3 linked regions of the Arabidopsis thaliana genome follow. The protein of the gene in region 2 interacts with the protein of the main gene of each other region in a pairwise test. Each region holds a gene or a part of one and is shown on either strand. Other genes may lie near its edges.

What was found.
Region 1: the proteins of UMAMIT23 (region 2) and AT3G57070 interact in a protein complementation assay, tested with the Arabidopsis thaliana proteins (one large-scale study listed by BioGRID).
Region 3: the proteins of UMAMIT23 (region 2) and ACBP6 interact in a protein complementation assay, tested with the Arabidopsis thaliana proteins (one large-scale study listed by BioGRID).

The regions. Positions count from the first base shown.
Region 1 is NC_003074.8:21,122,023-21,126,725, reverse strand, and holds AT3G57070 (Glutaredoxin family protein), read right to left. Parts: upstream 2,868-4,703; 5' UTR 2,553-2,867; coding exon 1,299-2,552; 3' UTR 1,044-1,298; downstream 1-1,043. Other genes in the region: NRPE5 (Eukaryotic rpb5 RNA polymerase subunit family protein), read right to left, coding at 597-848; AT3G57072 (uncharacterized protein), read left to right, coding at 890-1,027.
Region 2 is NC_003070.9:25,548,717-25,554,971, reverse strand, and holds UMAMIT23 (nodulin MtN21 /EamA-like transporter family protein), read right to left. Parts: upstream 3,483-6,255; 5' UTR 3,078-3,482; coding exon 2,884-3,077; intron 2,812-2,883; coding exon 2,749-2,811; intron 1,990-2,748; coding exon 1,873-1,989; intron 1,778-1,872; coding exon 1,528-1,777; intron 1,424-1,527; coding exon 1,265-1,423; intron 1,127-1,264; coding exon 975-1,126; intron 880-974; coding exon 714-879; 3' UTR 501-713; downstream 1-500. Other genes in the region: AT1G68180 (RING/U-box superfamily protein), read right to left, coding at 1-156.
Region 3 is NC_003070.9:11,409,674-11,414,430, forward strand, and holds ACBP6 (acyl-CoA-binding protein 6), read right to left. Parts: upstream 2,561-4,757; 5' UTR 2,427-2,560; coding exon 2,415-2,426; intron 1,962-2,414; coding exon 1,844-1,961; intron 1,740-1,843; coding exon 1,677-1,739; intron 1,545-1,676; coding exon 1,459-1,544; 3' UTR 1,093-1,458; downstream 1-1,092. Other genes in the region: FRL2 (FRIGIDA like 2), read right to left, coding at 3,312-4,733. UniProt on the Arabidopsis thaliana protein: Binds medium- and long-chain acyl-CoA esters with very high affinity. May function as an intracellular carrier of acyl-CoA esters. Confers resistance to cold and freezing.

The sequences.
Region 1 (4,703 bases), on a different chromosome or scaffold from region 2:
ATAAGTAACAAAAATCTTGTAGCAATCAATATATGAAATCGACTAGTTGAAAGCAGGTGACAAGCATGTCTATAAGCATACAAAAAGAGGTAACATGAACCAAACAACCAACAAGAAAAGGGGTAAGATTTTCAACAAATATCCAACTTAACCGTTCTTTTGCAGTTCAATCTCATTCTAGAATTAAACATGGAAACTTGTAGCTATCATCAGAACTCGCACATTTGACATTGACCATACTCTAAAGATTGAAGAGATCACTCAATGAATTGTCCGAATGTTCAATAGCCATAGGAAGAGATCTAAGAATCACTTTGCTAGTTGTTACCAGAAACATTTCACATTACAAAAATTCAGAGGACAAACAAATGAGGTATGCTACTTGATAAGGACAATAAAGTAGTAAACTTTAGTCATCTGAATCCACAAAAGTAGCAATTCAAACTTCAATTAGAAGATAAGAAATTTAAAAGAGTCACAAATTTCATATTCCATCATCTTCTTCACTGCCAAACAGTAAACCCCACAACATGCAAAGACAAAAAAACAGCTAGAAATCGAAAAATCACAACGAATACGAAAATACTTCGATATACCTTTTTGGTAGAATCGGAGCGATGCAGAGCGGAGATGCGAAGACGATCAACATCGGGACGTTCACCGTAAACAGTTCGAAAATCGTGAAGGGAGAGATTGATATCTTCGTCGGAGACTTCGTAGCCTCTGTCTCGGAGCATCTGCAAGCCATTTCGCCGCGCAAGATAGTATCTATGACTCTCTTCACTCGATAGATCCACGTATTTGCTCAGACACAGAACCGAAGCTGTCTCTTTCCCTTTCACTTCCATTTTTGTCTCCCTTATCTGAGCAAAAGTCGTCGAGTCCAGTGATGGGATTTAAAGGGAGACTAAACGTTGTCGTTTTAGGATTTAAGAACAGAAGGAAGAAAGCTAATATAGGTGAGCGAGCAGGTGACATCAATCAATCAAACTACATTTGTGGTAATGTTGCACATATTTTTCATTGATAAAAAATACCTTGCAAACAAAGCAAATCATTCGGCTATTATGCGAATTATCAATCATCATCTACCATTTGATGTACTTCATATAGTAAGAATCATTTAGTTCAAAAGGTCAAGAGCGTAAATGGAACAAAAGAACACAACTCATAAGAGTAAATAATAAAAGGCTTGAGCCAACTTACTTATTTGAATATACATTACTAACCAAATACCATGTTTAGTCAATCAATCTATATCCCCTTTCTCACACACATCTTTTGATCAAACTGATCACTTAGAGACAACACACACGACAACGCACCAATCCATTCTCATTGCATTTAGGACACCGCTTAAACCGTTCATCTTGTTCTTCAAACACTTTGGTGCTACCATCACAGTTAGTACAAGGCACAAACCTTGCATCACCACAGCTCCGGCATGTCCCCAAGCGTTCACAAGCAGGGAAATCTTTCAACATCTCTGCTAATTCACCACCATCATTTAGCTGCATAATCTCCTCCACGCCACCAATGTGAGTTCCTCTGATAAACACCTGAGGCAAACAAACCGGTTTCTCTGCGGCGCCAAGCACGCTTTGAAGCTCTTTCCTGTATTTGGAATCCATAGAGATGTCACGTTCGTCTACGGACACTTGAACTCCTCTCAATATCGCTCTAACGCAACAACAATCCTCGTATGTCTTTCGAATTCCTCTGAGGGTTGTGAAGTAGAGTACAATCTTGTCTTCTGTTCCTGGTAATCTCGGTTTGGCTGGTGATGAAATCAATTGACTAGAGGATACAGATTTTGGTTCTTCGCTTATTAAGATGGATGGATTTGATGATGGGCTACAAGAGAGAGACTTTGTGGGTCTATGAGGGTTTCTAGTATTACTATGATTGCTTAATAGCTTAGAAGACAAAGCTTTCTTGTAGGATGAGACAATGCTGGGATCTAAATCAGAGAGAAATGATTCTTCAGACAAATGCTTCCACAAAGGTTGCTTAGGTTTATAAGTCAAAGGAACCCAATCTCCATCGTCTTCTTCGATTCTCACAATCTCGTAAGATTCATCCAATTTCAACGAAGACCCATTTAAACTCACATTCCGATTCGGGTCGGGTTTAGAGCAAAAATCCGAATTTAGACGCTTACCCGGTTTGGGAATTTCGAATTCGAATTCATCGTCCAAGCCATCCATAAGCTCCCAAGTGTTTATGACTGAATCAGGAGAGACCGGATCTGGTGTGTTCTTCCCGGAGATTGAGATACGAGGCAGCGTTTGTTGGTCGGAAGAGGAGTTTTTGGATCCATCGAGATCAAGGAGGAGAAGAGAACCGTACGATGTAGATGTAAGGGAAACAAGGTGATGAGAGTCGCCTTTTCTCGCCGGAGGATGGTGAACCAACGGCGTCGGAAACGAAAAAGCTCTCTGCACCGCCGGTGAAGATGAATCGGAGCTGAATTTGGTCGGCGGTGGAGAAAACGCAGATGAGGAAGAAGCAGAAGAAACGGAAGAAGCGGTCTTTGAAGCAGAAGAACCCATTACGAAATCGAATTTAAAAACACTGACTTTAATGAATAATAGTTTTTAGTTTCTTTGCTCTTTCTGGTTTCTTCTGAGATTGTTTGGTTATCTCTGGGAATGATAGAGAACAGAGAGAGAAAAGAGAAAGGTGGAGAATAGCTGTCTAGGGCAGTTGAAGGTGGAAGATGGTGAAATTTAATGGCAGAAGAAAGAAACGATGTTGATGTTGATTTTCGGACACAACAACAGTTCTCGATTTGATTTTGATTGTGTAACCAAAGCTTATGTATAGAAGAAGAACCAAATTCCAAGAACTTTCCTTCACTGTCTATAAATTGAGCCAAACGTTTTTAAAATAATGAAGAAAAATAAAATATTAAAGAAAAATGTCATTATCTTCATAACTGCAATCTTTAATTCTTTATGATATTTTTATTAGAACTAAACGAAGATTGGAGGAGAAAAAAGGTTGATCAATCAAACAAATATTGACATGTCAGTTCCAAAAGATTTTATAATTAATTTTGGGGGTTCACAATATACATCTACATCTAAATTTTAGTTGAATTTATTTTTGCAATGCTTTATTTCTAAATTGCTTTTTTAATTTACGTCTTTGAAAATGTTTATTCCAAAATTTATCTTTTGAAATTTGCATTCAAACAAAATGTTTTGATATGACTCTATCTAGATATAAATATTAAGAATATATAAATTAAAAATATTAATTTTTATATCTACATATATTAAAATTTAATTTTAAAGTAAAAACATATAGATAATATTAAAGGTTTGAATGATAAATTTCAAGATAGGACCTAGACAGAGTATTCACGTGAATAATTTAAATCCTTGACTTTACGGAAAGTTTCTATATCTGACCTGTTATTAACTTTTCTTCTACCATAATTTAATATCATCATCTCATTGAACTCTTCCTTATTCATTTTTATTCATAATCAAACATTTTATTCATTTTGATTGATCTACACATACCTTTTTCTATTTCCTAAGATGATGTTTTGCAGTTAGCTGGTACGATTTAGTTGACTAGTCTTTGTAATGAAAGCTGTATATTCTAATCCCCACGAGAGAAAGTATGGTGCTTTGCTGTTACATTTTTTGTTTTTAATGAATTTGCTGTTACATTTTTGCATTATGTTAATGTATTTGAATCACGTATTATTATGTTATACGGTTTAGAAAAAGAACAGCTAATTGGACCACATCTTAATTAAAAATAACACTAATTGGACTACACATAAACAACATGGGAAGAAGTTGAATTGCACAAGGCAAAAACTCCTTGAAGATTCTTTATTATTTTTGGTACTTTGTTCTTTGTCTTTTACTCTTTTCAATAAGGGAAGAGGAAAGATTCGAAATTCAGAACCTAACACTACAAAGACTAAATATGATATAAGGAAGATATGCATAAGACAAAAAGCTAATATAAGAGGAAAGCTCAATAGTTTTAGAGGTGGATCTTGACAGATAAAAATGTTTGGTTCTTCATTGAATATTTGAATGTAATAGATTTCTTTGACGCCAATGAGCTAAATATATACAAAGTAAATTCAAAGGGAAAAATCATTTTCTCTTGTGTGATCTTCCAAGCAGAAGAGGCTAAAAAAGATTTCTTGAAATTGATAGAAACTCAATTGTTTCAGCAACATTTTTTCACAAGTATGAGGTCACATATGTTCTGGAATTCTACAAACTATATACTATACACATATACTGCTGCTCTGCTCTCTCTCTACCTCTCTCTGTCTGTCAAAATGTTTCATAGTTAAGAACCTTGCCAGCGTACCAACAGAAGATATGATAGAACCTTACTTGTGTACTCTGCGCATTTACTGCTGTAAAAGCCCTTCCTGAATTCAGAAAGGCCTGAATGCAAAACAATGACTAGTAAGCTAAGGAGAAAAACTAAAACAAAAGGTAATCTTCAGGATTATAAAACATGCTTCCAGGAATGTTTTGGTACTGAAGCTAAGAAGGTATTATCACCTATGAACTGTTTTCCAGACAATCACTTAAGCATATGGATCATATCATCAATGCTGATGTACTTATGTAGAGAGGAGATAAATTATCTGAGCATGTGAATGATCCTGAGGATACTTGTATCGACACAAAAACCAGCTACTATGAGAGATAAACTCA
Region 2 (6,255 bases):
ATTGATCTCTCTAGAACAGAAAGGACATATGGGACCATATAGACCAAAGCTTCTTAGCCTAATGGTACGGCTACAATGGCGACAATAGAAGTAATGGAACGTTCTTGTTCTTCTTGTTCCATTCACAATAACTCTTGGACGATAAGCAGATGTCATGTTTTCAATCTTTTTATTTTTTCGTCGGTAGGATCTTTATATATGCATTTATAATTAAATACGTGTACATGTTTTCAAGAAGAGGCAAGACAAAGCCTATACGAGTGAATGAGTTATTCTTTTCTGTGTTTAGGTTGGTGTCGTATGGTCTCTGCTATGTCAACTTGCGAATCTTTTAGTGATTTGTCTTGTAGGAATCAGAGATTCAAAAGGATGCTTGGAGAATCAATTACGATAAAGGGTTTTAGGTTTGGAGGAGAGTTATTTGAGCGGCCCATTATGGGCCCATTCCAACTTACTAGTTCATGTACATATTGTATGACTCAGAAGTGAAATTAATTAGACCCAAATAAGATTTTACAATTTATTATTGCTCGTTAAAAAAAATCCATGCAACATCTTATGAAGTTGTGGATGTGGTAGTACAAAGGTCATATGCACATAATAACTTACATAGATGGTTCAATAAATCATCGTTAGATAGAATAATAATGTTAATATTCACTTAATCAAATATACTAACAACAAGTCGTTCAACATATATAAATGATGGTTGATCAAGGGACATTTGTACTTAATGTTGGGAGATTGTTGACTGTGATATCTTTGCTAGTCTTATTTGTTTCATTATGATCCGATGTCGTAAGCATACTCTTCATTTCCTTGTTTTTAGCCCATAGCACAATGTATAATGCTCCAACGATAATCACTGTACCAATTATGCTGTAATGTTTTCAAGTAAAAATAAACCATATTATATATACATACGTATATCAAATCCATTTCCACAAAACAATACAATATACATGAGTTTGTACCTCCCCAAATGAAGTGTTTCATCTAGCAAAAATGATCCAACAAGAGCTACGATCACAAGTCCTACAGGGCTAAATACCGATACAAATAACGGTCCTCTAGACTCAATGCACCATGCGTTGACTGCTACCACCATCCCGGAAATCAGAATTGCCTACAATGGACAACATAAAGCACATATATTCAAGGCCAACCTAAATGAATCTTCACACATGTATAGACTTGTATGAATTTGTAATTAGACAACAAGACATATATATATATACTTAATAATGGATGGATTGATATTTACCGCATAAGCAATGGTTAATAGTCTGATATTCCATCCTAATCTCCATTCATCTAAATCGTGTTCCCAGCAAAGAGCGACAAGCATAGCCACTACGCCTCCCATCATGTTCATTAGAGTCGCGTTCCAATAAGGCCCTCCAAATTGTTTGCTTATCTTAACCTATAAACAAAACAAAAACAAAAAAAAACACGTACATGCCTAATGCCTTAGTACACAAAACAAACACAAAAATAAGAAATCTGAAAAACAAACAAAAAACTTGCCTGCAATAAAAACCAAAGTGAGATGGAAATGTTTCCCCCAAAAACTAGAAGAGCCCCAAGGATGGAAATATGGTGAGTGGTAGCATCACGTGAGGAGTCACGTGGTTGGTTCACTAGGTTAACGTGAGTTGACCATAGTCGGATCTCTATTCCTCTATAGAATATAAAGACAAGAGCTCCACCAACACCAAACAATGTTCCAAAAACCTTAGCCAGCCCTACGCTCGATCCAAGCCGTACACTCTCCATCCTATGAGACCCATAAAAGTTTATTATATTTTGTTTAATGGTATAAACATATATTAAAAGGGGTTAACTAAATTGTGATTCGTTGATTAGACTTGCCTAAGAAGTGCAGCGAAGATGAAAGTGACCAATGGAGTGAGAACGCCAGCAGCAGAGGTGAATGTTGCTGACGTTAGAGCTAGACCCGTAATGGTTAGGATACTTGGTATCACCACACTGTTCAATTATCACCACATTAAAGAAGTCTTATAATCCCAATATATATATATTCTTCAACAATTTTACATTTTACTAATGATAATCAATATTATCAACTAGTATTTTCAGCCAAAACGTAGTCTTCTATGTTTTTTGGTACATGTTGGTTTTTATTGTCAAACCACTAGTTGGTAATATTGAGTAGAATGGTTAAAACTACTAAGTACTACCCTGTTTGAATGTTAGATAATAATATTGAATACGTTCAAATAATCTTCTAGAGTTCTCTATGTTTTGGTACATTTTAAGTTTTTCAGACTAAGTATACGTTTTTTAACTTTAAAGTAAATTTAAGTAAAATTAAACTCTAGAAGATTAATTACGTTTTATAAAACCAGTGTGCTCTGGATTGTGGTTTTGTGGTGAGGAGATTTTGGTAAGAACTAAATTCAACTCATGCTACCTAAGCTAAAATATCCGACGACTTACCTAGCCAGTGGCTAATATGTTTGAAAACCAATAGGAAATCGAATTTGAACATATATAGGAATATATAAATTTTATAGTCTTGCATTAAACTTCTGTAACACTCAAACCATGTATATAGATTATTTTTTTCAATTTCGTATATTATAAAATGGTTTATTTTGAGAAATTTATCACAAAAAAGTTAACATATATATAACCTTAGGACACAAGAGGACATCCAAAAAAACGAAAAATGATTTTTCGTTTTGTGTGTGTGTGTGTGTGTGTGTGTGTGTGACTATTACGTACCCGAGTAACCCTGAGAGTAATGCTAGTAACATCAGCCTGCATGTAAACTCTGGCCTCTTCTTCCTAATCGATCACATGAAGTTAATTAATATCAAAGCATACAAACACAACCATATTATGTGAAAGAAAAACAACCTTTGAAAGATGAAGCATATAGGAATCATGAAAAGTGTAGCAAACAAGAGACGATAGGCCACGAGTACACTTGGGTTCATACCATCTTCCATTGCTAGCTTGAAAAATATGTTTAACCCTGCCGTAGCTATTTGAACCACCACCATTGCCGTTATATCTTTCATTTCTCTCCACATTTCACATATTCTCTCCATAATTTCTTATTCCTTTCTAGTTCCTTAATTACCTCACACTCATTTATTTATCGATTTATATATAGGGAGAGACAGAGAGAGAGAAAGAGAGAGATAGGCTAGCTAAAATGAGTTAAGGAATCCTGACTTATCCTGAGCCTCTGAGCTTTATTTATCACACCAATACTTCTCTTTTACTAGCTGTTTTCCACTAAATTTCAGTACCATAAATGAGTTATGCGATATAAGTAGATGCTAAATTCAAATTCAGGAATATTATTATAGATATGTCATATATAGAGTCTAATGAAAAGTGCTTCTAAATTTTTTAATACTCTAAAACACTAAACTTATCCAAAACACTTTAGAAATCTACTCTCTGGTCACAAACGGGTGGTGACAGATAATAGATTCTCAAACATTTCGTATAATAAGGTTTTAAACTTTTAATAGATATATAAGTTTCATGAAAAAAAAAAAAAGTTTCATGAATATTAACCAATGATGGTAGTTGCATTTATTTATTTTTGGCTAGTGCATTCACATAACATAACGAATGCATTTTAAGAATAATGTGATAAGAACATTCTAAATTTCCTGACCAAAAAAATAAATTTAAGAACTTCTTGAAATAAATTACTAGACCTCCACGGATATGAACTGTTTTGCACTCCACTTTACGTAGATAGTGTACGTGTAAGTGGGTGATTTTGTTACAAAACTAGTTTAAAGATAGAGAAAAAAAAAGTATAAATTGTCCAAAAAGTAGTTCACCGTTCACGTTTATATACAAATCGGAATGCATAAGAACAAAAAGAGAATCCAGCAACGTGTTCAGATGCTGTTGACACGTGCGATGCATGCTTTCTGCTTGTAGCCCATCAATAGTTTTTATTTTTCCAAAATACGAAGTGTTTCGAATTGTTTAGTGTCTGTCGCAAGTAGTTTCATGTAGGCATGCATGGTTTATGAAAATATGCTTCACCTTGGCCGTTGATTTTTTATCTAGCTTTAAGGAATCTCATCTTTATTTCTATTCACGAACATAGTTCTAGTAACGTACGTCAGTTGTGTGTTATAACTCAGTATACACCGTTACTTTAAAGTTATACAGATGAATTATCTCTGACAATTTTACACTTTTGAGATTTTCTTTAGTGGAACAAACTTTAATTATATATAGCTTCTAATTTTATTTTATTTTCTAATTTCTAAACATATTACGAAAAATTAATATGAGAGAGTGGTTTCAGCAAAATTAGCTAGGACTTACTTACATGATGAGGACTATATATATGAGAAAAAAACTGTGAATTAAGGTTGGGATTAAAGTCTTAAAGAAACCAAAAGCAGGGATAATGTAGAAATTTGGAGATGCTAAGGCCACAAGTTAATAGTTGAGACTTGATAGATATGATAACTTATTTGTTTTGTTTTTTGTTTTTTTTGTAGTTAATAACATTGTAAATCAGTAAAACCAAAATCTAGTTCCTGCCAACAATTTTGAAATTAAAATGTATGGATCACCTTAATGAGCGAAAGAGTGCATCAAGTCCAACAACAAAGTCTTTCTCTTCTTCATAACATAATGTTCGGAGTTAAATTAACTTGAATGAAACAAATCTTTAATTAATTATATTGATTTGCATTATTAGGAAACTGTTCAGATTAGCCTACCAAAAAAAAGGAAACTGTATTACTGTTAGTGGAGCAAGTATAATGTGCAGTTTATTGGGCTCATAGCATTTTAGAGCCCAAATTTATTCGTTTCTTAAGCAAAATCTTAAATGCGTATAAAATTAGTCTTTTACAAATATAGCATGTGGCCCAATATAAACGTCAGGCCTGATAATATGTTTAAGTGTCCATGACTTTTAACATGTTTCATTTGATAAGCATTTTTTACCAGAAGCTTATGTTAATTCACTTATACGGGTTGGGGATAATGAAAATTGAATTTGGACTAATAGAGCATACATCAATCGAGGAAAATTGCAACGACAAAGAAACGACGGTACATCAATTTTACCTTAGTAAAATCTTGATAAGATTTGAAGTGTGAGTTAATAACAAATTTTAAAAAACCTAACTTATCTAGTGAAAAAAAATGAAAATTATAAAAGCTGATGGCATTTAGATAGTAAACAGAAATCAAAATTGTTAAGTGATAGTAGTCTTGTTGCAAATGATAAGTCCACTGAGAACATGACATCGAGGATCGAGTCTCGCTCCTTATAAATGTTGACAAAAAAAAACAGAAATCAAAACATCATTTTGGTGTATGAATATATTTCTTGATCTATTTAGTGTATCAATAATTTCTTAAATATCAAAAAAAAAAAAAAAAACTCTTCATCGATTTTTATATGCTTGCTTCTGTTATTGGTTCATAACTATGAGTCCAATTATTTTCATAGTCGCATATAATTGTAAAAGTATTGTACGAACGGATCAGTTTATCCCACAATTATTGAGATGCTAAGATTAATTTTTGTATTAACATAAAGAAAAAATATGAATCAAATTCATATATCTTGAGATTTTGACAACGAGGATGTCACACATTGACATTATTAGAAAACAAAAAAAAAAAAAAAAAATCTTGTCTACTTGATAAAACTTTTTGGAATAAAAAAAGTGAGGTAGAAGAAAGAAAGGCATCAAATGCTTTATTATTGGGATTCGCACTATTTACTAAATTCCACGATCTGCCAACCATCTCTTTTATTTATTTACCTATTTTCTTATTTTTTTCTACTAATTTTGGTAGTAAAAAAAAAAAAATGAATATGTTCTTAGTCATATCTCTCCCTTCAATTTAGGAAGAGAATCTTTTCTAAAATTCCCCATTCCTACTTACTTTTATAGTCAAAATCCATTTTTTTCCATTTCAACTAATTGTGTTGGAAAATAATTAATATTAGATTTCAATTAAGTTTATCATCAATATGGTGAAAAGTCATAAAGTAATGTATTAATAATTTTTTCATTATTTGTCTAAAAATCCTTCATTGGCTTATAGCTTACAAGGCTGCTCTGTCTAATATACAGAGGACAAGAGAAAAAAAAAAAAAGAAAAAAAAAATTGTGATTTGGTAAACAAAATCAAATTTTGGTTTCTTTGTGAGAACTTAACTTAGGGTTTATAAAGTTCCAAGCTTTATCCATGGCGTAAGATGATTCACCTTCTCAAAGTTTG
Region 3 (4,757 bases), about 14 Mb from region 2:
TTTAAAATAAAAAATCCGAGTAAAATCGGATAACTATTTTAATTTTAGACGCCTGATAAATCAAGCTTCCTGCTCATTCGTAATCAGAATCATTTTGGTCCTTTTATAATATGGGTCTGAACTATTGTCCAATTTTTCTAAGCGATGTGGGACATTGTACACATATTATTTCTTCATAGGTTGAATAATATATTTCCGTTTTAAAAAATTTGAATTACATCATATTCAGAAAAAATATAATATTTTATTAACTATATATATTTTATATAAATTCAAAATAAATAAAGTATAAGATCAAATAAAAATGAAAGAAGAATTATATATTTATGTTTAAATTAGGTAGAAATATTTTAGGAAATTAGTTAAGGTAAATAAGAAATATGGTTAGTTTAGAGATATTGTTTATATTATGTAATTAAATCATTAATTTCGTTTTTAATTATTATTTTTTAGGTAACTTTTCCAAAAATTAATGTTATCCAAGATCAGAACAGAATTAAACATGTTATCCAGGATCCGAATAGAGTTAAATCGGGTAAAACCCACCCATTTGAATTAATTGTTGAATTATGGTTCACATCTTCAACATTATCTTCAAAAACCTCCTACAAAAATGTATATATAGATTAATTATTTCACTTATATTAAAATATATAAAAGAATTTGTTATGTTAAAGTGCATATACTATATATTTATATCGTTTAATTTTCAATTGAAAAACACAATGCATTTAATATAAAAATTCTAGATGTATAATTTTGATAAAGAGATTATCATAATACTAAATATTAGTATGTTCAACATACAATTAATTATTTTAATATTCTACAATATTATTTAATTTCTTGAATCACGGTTAAGAGATTATCATTAAGGGAAGGAAGTTAATCTACAATCAATAAAAAATAAAAGTAATTATGATCAACTCAATAAAAAAACTATTGTTTTTGTCATCTACCAAATTATAAACCTCAAATTTGTAGACACTTTAAAACTAAACGTCTATTTATTTACGAATTTGACTTTAAATAAACCACATACAATTTGAACAATTCTGCCAATGTTCGAGACGAAAAAAATAAATAAAAAATCTGCCACGTTCTTTTTTTTTCCAGCTTTTGTCTTATGTACTCCAAATTGAAATAAAACGAAAGTTTTCTAGTGAGTGGTGAATGCGATGGACCATGAAGAAAAAGACCTACGGACCAGAACGAATATATCATCTTGAATTCAACTGTTTTAACTAAGACCATATCGAGGACGGACCAAAAATAACTTATGGATTTAGTTTGCATCATGATTCTCTGTTTTAACCAATATCAAGCATTTTTAAGAGATCACACCATGTCACAAAGTAGATAGCTTAAATATGATAGAAACACAAGAGCAAGAACAAGTCTTATGCAATGTTATTTTGATGCTTAAGATAAAGTTACTGCAGATGAGGATTTGATTCATCAGGTTGAAGCCTTGGAAGCAGCAACTTCCAAGAGTTGCTTGACCTTAGTGATATAGTCATTCATGGCTTCTTCCGATGATTTCCCTGACATCATAAACAAAGAAAAGTTCAAATTCAATTCCCCAAGCACAAAAAATTGTTGAACTTGAGACAAGAATCCAAATTACAAACAAATCACTAAGCTAAAAAAGTTGATCACTTGAATTGTTTTTGTACCTTCAACAGCCTTCCAAGCATCCCACTTGGCTCTCTCCTTCATGCTGAACATTCCAGGACGACCTTTGAATCAATCAATAAACAAATACACATTATTAACAACATTACAGAAAAGTGAACTAAGAAGCAAAAATAGAGGATGTTAATATTCAGACAAAAATATTAACTGGTGTCCACAGGCCCAAACTTGGCTTGCTTGTAGAGTCCGTAGAGAATGAGCAAATCCTCGTTGGATGGCAACTCCGTGAGCGTATTCACTTTCTCAGCGTGCTCCTCAAATTCCTCCTGCAGATATATAAATCAGTGAAACAACAAATTCGAAGAAAAGATTCTTAATAGCCTAATACACCATCAAACATATTACTACTTAAAATTCTCAATCGGGATACAATAATCAAACAAAACTCAATAAAACCAAACCTAGCTCAGATTCAAAACTATATTACCCATCAGCAAACAGTGTTTAACAAATCAGTTATAAGAACAGTAAATGGACAAAATCATACAGAGAAAAAGCGTGATCAGTAATAATTCAATTCCATAAAGTGATCATTCTTGACTATACAAGCTTCAATTTCGTAACTATAAGGAACCTATATATCTGCAAATCTGGATCAAACAAGGCTACCAACACAGAAAATATAGAATTCAGGAATGGTGAACACAAACAAAACTAAGATCCGAGTAGTAATAAACCGAAACCGAGATCGGTTTGGTTCATTTTGGATCTGAACGTACCTTCAAACCCATGATGAATAGACGTCGGAAGTTGAGATTGGTAGGAGAATTAAATCAGTGTAAGACGGAGAAGACGAGGACAACGCGTGAGATATATATGGGCGTCATGATAAACCTCTCAGGCCCATAAGCCATAACTATTAAATATTTTCTTTAAAGGAAATAAATATTTTTAGAGATAGATACTGTATACGTGGATTCAGACACCCCGTTGATTGGCTTATTCTGATCAGTATGGGTACAACTGTAAAACAAAGAACATGTTCTGTTTTTTCTTTTTTTTGCTCATCGAACATGTTCCTTCTCCATTGAAATGACAATATTAATTTTCTGTTCCATCAGAAAAACCATAAGCATATCCTTTTGTAAACTTAAATAGTTTAATGAAAAAAAAACTATTTCTGTTTCTGTGCTAGTTGAATATTATCCTTTGGATCATTTTAGATATCCAGACACGTAGATTTCTTCCCACTACAACAAATCAAACCAAAAGGGATCTTTGGTGATTATAAGAAAAAAGGGAGGAAATCTTGGAAGATTACCTAACAAATCAAGGAATATAAATGTTAGATCAAAACCATAAAGACCATTCCTCCACAAGTAAACTAAACTAAATTAAAAAGAGGTTAAGGTTAGGTTATAAAACTGTACAATCAAGGCAAAATCCTCTATAGTCGCTTCACCAGGTAAACAAAAAAAGAAAAAACGGATCAATTTGCTCTTATGTTATCCCCCAAACAGCGACTATATCAAGTGTTATCTATGTCAAAACTCTCGAAATTTACTTGATATTCATTACTGAACATCAAAAACACATAGAGAGCATAGACCTGTTCGAGCAGAAATCTTCTCAATATCGCTTGCATTCCTATAATAAATCTTACCAATAGAGAGATGCTACTGAGGATAGTACGGTGGGCGGTACTGAGGTGGTGGCATCCCATAACCAGTTTGCTGCACATAAAAGACGGGTCGAGAAGCTGGAGCTGGAACCGAGCCAAATAGAGCCCTTGGGTTGCCATATGGGACAGCAACACCAGGAAGTATTGAGCTTAAAAGACCATATGGGTTCACTTGTAAAATCTGACTAGGAGTAGGCAAAAGTGGTGGTTGTTGTTGCGGCCTCAGAGGTGGGATTGTCAAATTATATTCCATACTTGAACCATTAGCAACTCGAGGACGCTTATTATCGACCTTTTGTTCTTGTGGTTGTTGGGGATTAGCAGGTGAATTGAACTTAGTGGCACGCTTCCTCTGAGCTTTCTGATCCTCCAACTCCTTAACACATTCTTCGAGTTTCTCTTCCATGAACTCGGACTCGATGTTTTTCTCTTTCACGACTTTGATAACTGCTCTCAAAGCACTTAGTTCTTTATCAGTAGCTTCGTTCTGCACCTTAAGAGAGTAATTCCCTTCAGCACAAACTCTCTTAGCAGCTTCTCTAGAGTTCTTCAAACTAGTTTTCAAAATCGAAACTGGTTCAAATTCACCCACCATCTCATTCTCGTAAATGAATCTAATAGCAACAAGTAATCTCCCAGTATCCAAAAACTTCTGAACGAGAACTCCTATTCGATTTCTATCTAAACCAATCTTCTTGCAGATCGTTGTTGCTTGTTTATACTTAGAGATCAAGAAAATGTAATCACAAATCTCCTCAGTACTAAATAAAGACCCTAATTCAAAAGCTGCAACCAAATGCAAAAACCCTAACGCTTCTGATGGTTTGTTACCTATATTTGGTTTCCAATCATAAGCAATAGTCCTAGCTCTTTCTCTCAAATCATTCGTGAGATTCGCATTGATCTCAATCAAAGCTTCTAATAACAAAACGAAGATCCTCTTCACATCGATCGCTCTCGCCGAGGAAGACGACGATGGTGATGAGCAATGGTAAGAACCTTCGATTGCATCTAGAACCAAAGGTGCTGGATTCTCTGAGCATCGAATCGCATTAGGAAGCTCTTCATTGATAGATAAACGCTTCCTCGAATTCTCAATCATGTAGTTACCCAAACCTTTTCCATCATTCTTCTCACAAAACTTTCTCAATTCCGGCCAAAGGACTGGTGTCTCCGTCGTAACCGCCGTGGGAGTTTCGATATTACCGGAATTGGAACTAGTCACGGCTGATTGGAGGCGGTTAAACAATGAAGACTGGAGAGAAGAAAAGTGAGAGTCAATCTCAGACCATGAGAGGTTAAAAGATGGTGAAAGGAGAGATCGATGAGCTTGAAGATCATCGAAAGCTTTCTTCAATTTTTGTTTCTTCTCATCAATTTGATTAATCGATGCGGCGATTGATTCCGCCGCCGTCATAATCTGAACCCTAGGTTTATTAAA